Arabidopsis thaliana: one gene and its partner. The protein of the gene in region 1 binds, or shares a complex with, the protein of each later gene. Each region holds a gene or a part of one and is shown in the gene's direction. Other genes may lie near its edges.

The links. The genes of interacting proteins can lie anywhere in the genome.
Region 2: NRPD7 (region 1) and NRPD1A share a complex: the UniProt entries of both Arabidopsis thaliana proteins name them as parts of the RNA polymerase IV complex.

What each region holds. Positions count from the first base shown.
Region 1 is NC_003074.8:8,113,313-8,116,804, forward strand, and holds NRPD7 (RNA polymerase Rpb7-like, N-terminal domain-containing protein), read left to right. Parts: upstream 1-1,752; 5' UTR 1,753-1,957; exon of another isoform or gene 1,958-1,967; intron 1,968-2,322; 5' UTR 2,323-2,332; coding exon 2,333-2,857; 3' UTR 2,858-2,941; downstream 2,942-3,492. Other genes in the region: APS1 (ATP sulfurylase 1), read left to right, coding at 1-24, 289-694, 782-1,042, 1,116-1,202, 1,285-1,422; AT3G22910 (ATPase E1-E2 type family protein / haloacid dehalogenase-like hydrolase family protein), read right to left, coding at 3,023-3,492. UniProt on the Arabidopsis thaliana protein: DNA-dependent RNA polymerase catalyzes the transcription of DNA into RNA using the four ribonucleoside triphosphates as substrates. Component of RNA polymerase IV which mediates 24-nt short-interfering RNAs (siRNA) accumulation.
Region 2 is NC_003070.9:23,359,444-23,364,099, reverse strand, and holds the start of NRPD1A (nuclear RNA polymerase D1A), read left to right. Parts: upstream 1-1,612; 5' UTR 1,613-1,663; exon of another isoform or gene 1,664-1,796; intron 1,797-1,907; 5' UTR 1,908-1,952; intron 1,953-2,960; 5' UTR 2,961-2,973; coding exon 2,974-3,057; intron 3,058-3,140; coding exon 3,141-3,261; intron 3,262-3,358; coding exon 3,359-3,480; intron 3,481-3,560; coding exon 3,561-3,599; intron 3,600-3,686; coding exon 3,687-3,905; intron 3,906-3,981; coding exon 3,982-4,134; intron 4,135-4,222; coding exon 4,223-4,318; intron 4,319-4,368; exon of another isoform or gene 4,369-4,398; coding exon 4,399-4,656. UniProt on the Arabidopsis thaliana protein: DNA-dependent RNA polymerase catalyzes the transcription of DNA into RNA using the four ribonucleoside triphosphates as substrates. Largest and catalytic component of RNA polymerase IV which mediates 24-nt short-interfering RNAs (siRNA) accumulation.

The sequences.
Region 1 (3,492 bases):
TAACCCCGTCGCTATCCTCAGCGAGTAAGTCCTTCTTCAACATACTCAGATTCAAATTCAGATCATAGATTGTTGGAGAAGACGAAAACTGAGATTTGAATTTGATTTTGAACTTATCTCTCTTTGAGATTAGTTAAATACAGTATAATCTCGATAAAGTAATACTCGATAAATTAATAACTATGTATTCACGATTAGACTTAGACTAGATCTGATTAATCTTGAGATTAGAATTTGGCTATATGTGTAATTGGTTACTGAAATCTGTTTGTTTTTATGTTTGATCAGTATTGAGATTTATAAGCATCCAAAGGAAGAAAGGATAGCTAGAACATGGGGTACGACGGCTCCAGGTTTGCCTTACGTAGACGAGGCGATAACTAATGCTGGAAACTGGCTCATTGGGGGTGATCTTGAGGTTCTTGAGCCAGTGAAGTACAATGATGGGCTTGATCGTTTCAGGCTTTCGCCTGCTGAGTTACGTAAAGAGTTGGAGAAGCGTAATGCGGATGCGGTGTTTGCTTTCCAGCTGAGGAATCCTGTTCATAATGGTCATGCTCTTCTTATGACTGATACTCGTAGGAGACTTCTTGAGATGGGTTACAAAAACCCTATTCTTTTGCTTCATCCGTTAGGTGGGTTTACAAAGGCTGATGATGTTCCTTTAGATTGGAGGATGAAGCAACACGAGAAGGTAAAAAAAGTTATTGATTGTTGTGTGTCTCTTGAGTGTGAGTGTGTGTATCTTGAAATGCTAAATGTGTTTATGAATGTAAAACAGGTTCTAGAGGATGGTGTTCTCGATCCGGAGACTACAGTGGTTTCGATATTCCCGTCACCTATGCATTACGCTGGTCCAACCGAAGTGCAGTGGCACGCAAAGGCTAGAATCAATGCTGGTGCTAACTTTTACATTGTGGGTCGTGATCCTGCTGGGATGGGTCATCCAGTAGAGAAACGTGATCTTTACGATGCTGATCATGGAAAGAAAGTACTAAGCATGGCACCAGGACTCGAACGACTCAACATCCTTCCTTTCAGGGTATATACAATTCGAAAAGATTCACACTTTTTGTTTGACAATGTAGAGATCTAATTCCTTGGTGTAACTGCAGGTTGCTGCATATGACAAGACGCAAGGCAAGATGGCTTTCTTCGATCCCTCGAGGCCTCAAGATTTCTTGTTCATCTCCGGCACTAAGGTAATATACCAGTCCTACATTGTTAAAATTCTTCATAGTTTGTTTATAAAACAAACCTCTAAATGTTTTTCGATTATTCTAGATGCGCACATTGGCAAAGAACAACGAAAACCCGCCAGACGGTTTTATGTGCCCAGGTGGATGGAAAGTTCTGGTGGATTACTATGAGAGCTTGACTCCGGCGGGTAATGGTAGACTACCAGAAGTGGTTCCGGTGTAAGACAAAACTGTTCGTTTCAAATTGTAACGTTTGTGTTGTGAAGCCTTGTAGCAACAATCATTGTTGTATTGGGAGAGAAGCCTATGTATAATCTGGCTTGACCTTTTTCCAAATAAAATACAGAAGAAAAAAAGACTGTTTTTCGTTTGCAAGATAATTTACGAAACTTGTAATATTTGGGCCTCAAACTTTGTACCATATTAATGAAACGATTGTTTTTACATATAAGGATTTACGTATTTTTGACTTTTGACTACATCTTTTTCTATTTAATCACTCACTTTTTTTTTTTTTTTTTTCGCCATTTAATCACTCACTTTTGACTTCATATATGTATTCTAGTAGTCGTACCCAATTGTTGTAATGGGCCTTCAAAGGCCTCTTGTAGTAATGGGCCTATTAATTTGTAAATAACCAAACCCGAAGTTTCGTCTCCTGAGTCATTTCACGACTGATGTTTTTCTTCTCCGACGCTACAATCGGTGTCTGTTTCCGAAGTTGTTCGTTCCATTAGAGCTTCAGATTTCGTCGTTTGGTAATTTCAAGTTAGAGCTACTTAATCTTTTGATCTGTCAAACCAATTTCTCAGATAAATTCACTCTAGGGTTTGTGAAGAACGATGATATGATCACATTTCACAATGCAAACGGTGCTAAGCTTATAGTAAATTAATGGTGGCTTGATGCTTAATTGAAAAGTCGGAAACTTTTTTATTCTTCTTTATTGTTTGAGATTCATTTCAATGGTTGACATGTATGCCAAGTGTTTGTTAAAATGTCTAAAAGAAAACTTCAAGTTGATCACTTTGGTAAAATTGGTTAGCTTGTTTCTGTAGAATGCATAATCTTTAGTGAAAATGTGATTGACTACTTCTGATTCTTTGAAATGTCACTGTTTCAGGCTGAAGAAAATGTTCATCAAAGTGAAATTGCCATGGGATGTTACGATTCCAGCTGAAGATATGGACACTGGCCTTATGCTTCAGAGAGCTATTGTCATTCGTCTACTCGAAGCCTTTTCTAAAGAGAAAGCAACAAAAGATCTTGGATACTTGATAACACCGACAATTCTTGAGAACATCGGTGAGGGTAAGATCAAGGAACAGACCGGCGAAATTCAGTTTCCCGTAGTTTTTAACGGAATCTGCTTCAAGATGTTTAAAGGAGAGATTGTTCATGGTGTGGTGCACAAGGTTCACAAGACTGGTGTCTTTTTGAAATCTGGCCCTTATGAAATCATTTACCTATCACACATGAAAATGCCTGGTTACGAGTTCATTCCAGGCGAGAACCCGTTTTTCATGAATCAGTACATGTCCCGGATTCAAATCGGTGCCAGAGTTCGTTTCGTCGTGTTAGATACCGAGTGGAGAGAGGCAGAGAAAGACTTCATGGCTTTGGCTAGCATCGATGGAGACAATCTTGGTCCGTTCTAAAAAGATTGTAATCTTAATTTTCACTCTATATATACATGTTATGTAAAAACGCTGTTCAATGAAAATGATCAATCTTTATTCAAATCTGTTAAACATACTAAAAGAAAAAACAAATCAATGCTTCATAATGTATATACTAATGTAAGATCAATTCAAGAGCCTCTTTCATGATCTCTTCTTCCATTTCAGGTAGCTAAAGAAGTGTCTCTCTGGAACCGGAACAGACTTCACTAACCATCCAATCGGCCACGATGCAGCTGCGATGGCAATGCAAACTCCCCATTGACCCAAGTTTAGCCTCTCTGTATCAGCAAATCTCTTGAGAAACTCAACCATCACAACTTGCAAAACCACAGTCACAACTATAATTCCAATGAAGAGTCTGTTCTTGTGTAACCCTTTAAACACATTCTTCTTCTCCAAACTCCTAGCGTTAAACTCGTTGAACACCTGACAAAGCACAAATGTATTGAAGATCAAAGTGTTCTTCACTTTCTCAGTCACGTTGAAAATCGATCTTCCTCTAAACTGAAGCACCAAGAGCACAGAGATTTGGTAAAACGCTTGAGCTAGTAGATTCCTCCACATGATGTTTGTGATCAATGGCGCCACTCTCCCTATCGGTTTCTTCTTCA
Region 2 (4,656 bases), on another chromosome or scaffold:
CAAATGTTTACAGTTTATAAGGTTAATAAGAAAATTTACTGGGACATTTTTAAGTCTAGTTTATTCTACTACATGTTTTTCAAAACAAATACTCATTTTGTTTTAATTTAATTATCATTTTAGCACTTAAATTTAATCTCACAATAATTATCGTTTTTAGTTTTTTAATGCAAATGTTTAATAAAAATGTGAGTATTAATGTCTTGACCAATAATTTTTTTAGAAACTATATTGAACAAGGGTAAAGTAGAAAATTTAATTGTTTTTTTTTATTTTCACTGCAAAAAATCTTAAACGACAAATAATTTTAAACAAAACTATTTTAATAACTAACCACTAAACTAACTATATAACTGTTTTACAAACGAAAGCGTGAACTTCACGTAAACAAAAATTCAATTTCACGCCGCCGACAAAAAACCTTAAACGACAACTAATTTTAAATAGAAGGAGTATATTTTAGTAATAATTATATGTTAAACTGTTTTAATAAATAACCACTAAACTAACTATGTAACTGTTTTACAAACGAAAGCGTGAACTTCACGTAAACAAGAATCTAATTTCACGTCGCCGACAAGAAAAACTGATTTCACTTATATATCTTGATTTATTAATGGACATTCACATACTCTCAAATAAGATTCTAGATCTTATAAATTTTAATCTATTTTTGTCTCAATTAATTTAGTTATTTATCACATTTCGCCTCTTATAAAATTATATGATAATTGTCTAAGCAGCTAACTAATTGTAATTGTTTTTCAAACAAAAAATATATTTTAATTACACATAATTTTTTTATCGAACAAAAATATATTTTAACGAAATATAAATGTTTCGAATCAAAGATAACAAATTTATAGCCTCAACTATACGTAAAACAAAATTTTATTTTACATATCATACTTTGATTGATACTAACACAAACTTCACAAATAAATTCGTATAATTATGTAATTTTAGATTATTTAGAGATTATAACTAGTATTTAGAAAAATCGCAAAATCATATAAGAAAAGAAATGGAATTTGTTTTTGGTTCAAATTATATTTTTTTTTCCCGCTATTCATATTATAGTTATGAACCAAAAATCAAGCTAGAAATAAAAACCACTAGGATTTTTTTTTTTTGCTAAGATGAAAATTTAGTTATACACTTATTTTTATTTATTTAAATATTACATTAAACTAATAAAAAGTATTAATTATTCTAATAACTTTTTGTCAGTTTTAAAATTAGGCCAAAAGTAAAAAACTAATACAGCTAATATAATATACTTAAGGAAGGATATTTCAACTTTTTCTTTTCTTCCCAGTTTCAGAGTTTATACAAATAAGGTAAAATTCGCAGAAACAGAAAATCATAAAGTAATTAAAATAATACAACCGAGGAAGTAAAAAGATTTCCAAAAGGTAAAAGGTGTACTCGTAAAGTAGGTAAATAGAGGTACAGGTCAAGGGGTAGTTTCGGTATTTACACTCTTTCTTCTTCTTTTTTTTTTTTTTTTGGTGTCTCACATTCCAAAGTCCCCATTGGACTTAGAGAAGAGTTTTTTTTTCGTTTTCTCTGCTTTCTCACTTTTTCCCGTTTCCTTTGGGAATACAAACGGCGGCTTCTCAAAAGCCTCCGATTTCGATTTTTTTTTCCTCTCTTTTTTTTTGTTCTTTCTTTAGAGTCTCTTCTTCAACTTCTTCTCCGGCATCTTCCGTCGGAGCTAAGGATCAGAAGTTTTTGTCTGTGCACTGTTTCAATTGGATCATTACATAGTGAGGATTCTCTGTTCGACGAAACGAGTAAGTAACTACATTGTTGTTCTTCCTCAATTCTCTTCTGGTTTTTCTTTCGTTTTTTTTTTTAAAACCTTTTTCGGTAATTTTCTTTTTATCTCTTTGAAACAATTTGAGTTCTTTTTTTTTTTGATTGATCACTGTGTCTGATTCCTTATCACGGTTCTTTTGTTTAAATTTGATCGATCGTTGTCTTTGAACTCCGATTTTGTTTCTATGAACTTTGTTTACTTTGGATGATTGTGAAAAGTTAAGTACTTTGGTTTATGCATGTTCTTATGAGAAATCGATTTCTTTCGTTTAGAGATCATCTTAAGGCGGCGAATGTTTTTGCACTAAGGGTTTGTGTGAGTCCTTTAGAAGAACATTTGGAAAATTTGTCCTTTTTTTTTTTTGGTCAGTGAATTTTTTTTTTTTTAATCCATGAATAGTGTATGTTCAAAGATTGAACCTTTTTGTGTGTATGTTCTGCAGTTTTTTTTCTTTCTTCTTTTTCTGAACATGTATTCTCTTATTTTTTTGGGTTCATGCTAGATTCTATTAGTAAATTCAATTTCGAATCTATAACTTGTTTTTGATAGGCCAGTCACAGAGGAAGATTGTGGTAACACTTTTGTCCCTTAACAAAAGTGTCTGTTTCTCTTTGGTCAATTTTTTGATCAGAGAGAGTTTGCTTTGGTTTTTGTGTTCTGGTCAATGAAATGCTAAAGATTGGTTTTTGTTTCATATTCTGCTGCACATTAGATTTGATGATAGAGGGTACAGATAGAAACTGATCTTTTCGACGATTTATCCGTGAGTTTTAGCTCTGTTTTATGTTACAGAAGTAAGTGTTAATTTTCAATAATGTGTGTTCAAAGTTTGAACTATTTTGTGTGTTCGTCAAATATTTTTGAGCTAGAATCTTCTTCCCTGAACATGTTCTCTCTTTTCTTTGGATATATGCTAGATTCTAAGTGGCCACTCACAGAGATAGTTTGTGAAGTTGTCTGTTTCTCAGTGGTTAGTATTGGTCAGAGCGAGTTTTTTGGTTTTGTCTGTCTAAATGCTAAATATTGGTTTTGTTTCATATTCTGCACATTGGAATTGGTCACTAAAACTTGCTTATAAAAACTGATGTTTTTACTTACGTATCTAAATTTTCCTTACTGATGGTTTTTTTTCTTGTAGGAAACTCTTCAACATGGAAGACGATTGTGAGGAGCTTCAGGTTCCCGTGGGAACTCTAACCTCGATAGGTTTTAGCATTTCAAACAACAATGATCGAGTAAGTGTTGTCCTTATTTATTCTTCTTGATTTGTTTATGAGTAGATGGAGCAAATATTTAATGTAATGGTACTTTATTATAGGATAAAATGTCTGTGCTAGAGGTTGAAGCACCGAATCAGGTGACTGATTCTCGGCTAGGATTACCGAATCCGGATTCTGTCTGCAGAACCTGTGGCAGCAAAGATCGAAAAGTTTGCGAAGGTATCATAAAGAATCTGGTTTTGGCAAATATTGTTCCAATCTTTTAGCTCATTTTATGATTAGTTCCCTGAGTTTGCTACTTTTCTCTCTGTTTTAGGGCATTTCGGGGTTATAAACTTCGCGTACTCGATAATAAACCCGTATTTCCTCAAGGAGGTAGCTGCGTTGTTAAACAAAATCTGTCCGGGGTGTAAATACATTCGAAAAAAGCAGTTTCAGGTTCACTAGTCTTTCCAAATCCTTTGTTGGTTTGTGTGTTTTGGAACTACATATACTAATGTCATTTTTGCTTGATATAGATTACCGAAGACCAGCCTGAGAGATGTAGATACTGCACTGTAAGAATATATGATTGCAACTAATTTTCTCAGTTTAAAACTTTGTTCCAACACTAATTTTCGGTTTTTGTTGTTGTTATATATCAGTTGAATACCGGTTATCCTCTAATGAAGTTTAGGGTAACTACTAAAGAAGTCTTCAGGCGATCCGGAATCGTTGTTGAAGTAAACGAAGAGAGTCTGATGAAACTCAAGAAACGGGGAGTGTTAACATTGCCTCCTGACTATTGGAGTTTTTTGCCGCAAGACTCTAATATCGACGAGAGCTGTTTGAAACCAACAAGGCGAATAATAACGCATGCACAGGTATAGAAGAGTGAAATGTACCATCTCCATGACTTCTTACTATATATAGTTTTCTGAAAATTTCACCTTTTTGCAGGTTTATGCTCTGTTATTAGGGATTGATCAGAGGCTCATCAAGAAGGATATCCCTATGTTCAACTCTCTTGGTCTGACATCTTTTCCTGTTACACCAAATGGTTACCGTGTAACCGAAATAGTTCATCAGTTCAACGGAGCTCGGCTAATATTTGTAAGCTAAAAACGCTTGTTTATATAATTTGTTATCATATACTATGGTATTTCTCTTATCTTTTCGAGTTTCTGTCACATTTTTGAAGGATGAACGGACTCGGATCTACAAGAAACTAGTCGGCTTTGAGGGAAACACACTTGAATTGAGTTCTCGTGTGATGGAATGCATGCAATATTCCAGAGTAAGTTAGTGGTTCCTGATAGATTTAAACTCTTCTTTCTGTTCTGTGAAGGTTAGTAGTATTTCTTGTTTTTTGCACAGCTCTTTTCGGAAACTGTGTCTTCGAGTAAAGATTCCGCAAATCCGTACCAGAAGAAGTCTGATACACCAAAACTTTGCGGTCTAAGGTTCATGAAAGACGTGCTGCTCGGTAAAAGAAGTGATCATACATTCCGGACAGTAGTTGTTGGTGATCCGTCCTTGAAGCTCAACGAGATTGGCATACCCGAGAGTATCGCAAAAAGGCTTCAAGTATCAGAGCATCTCAACCAGTGCAATAAAGAAAGGCTTGTCACTTCC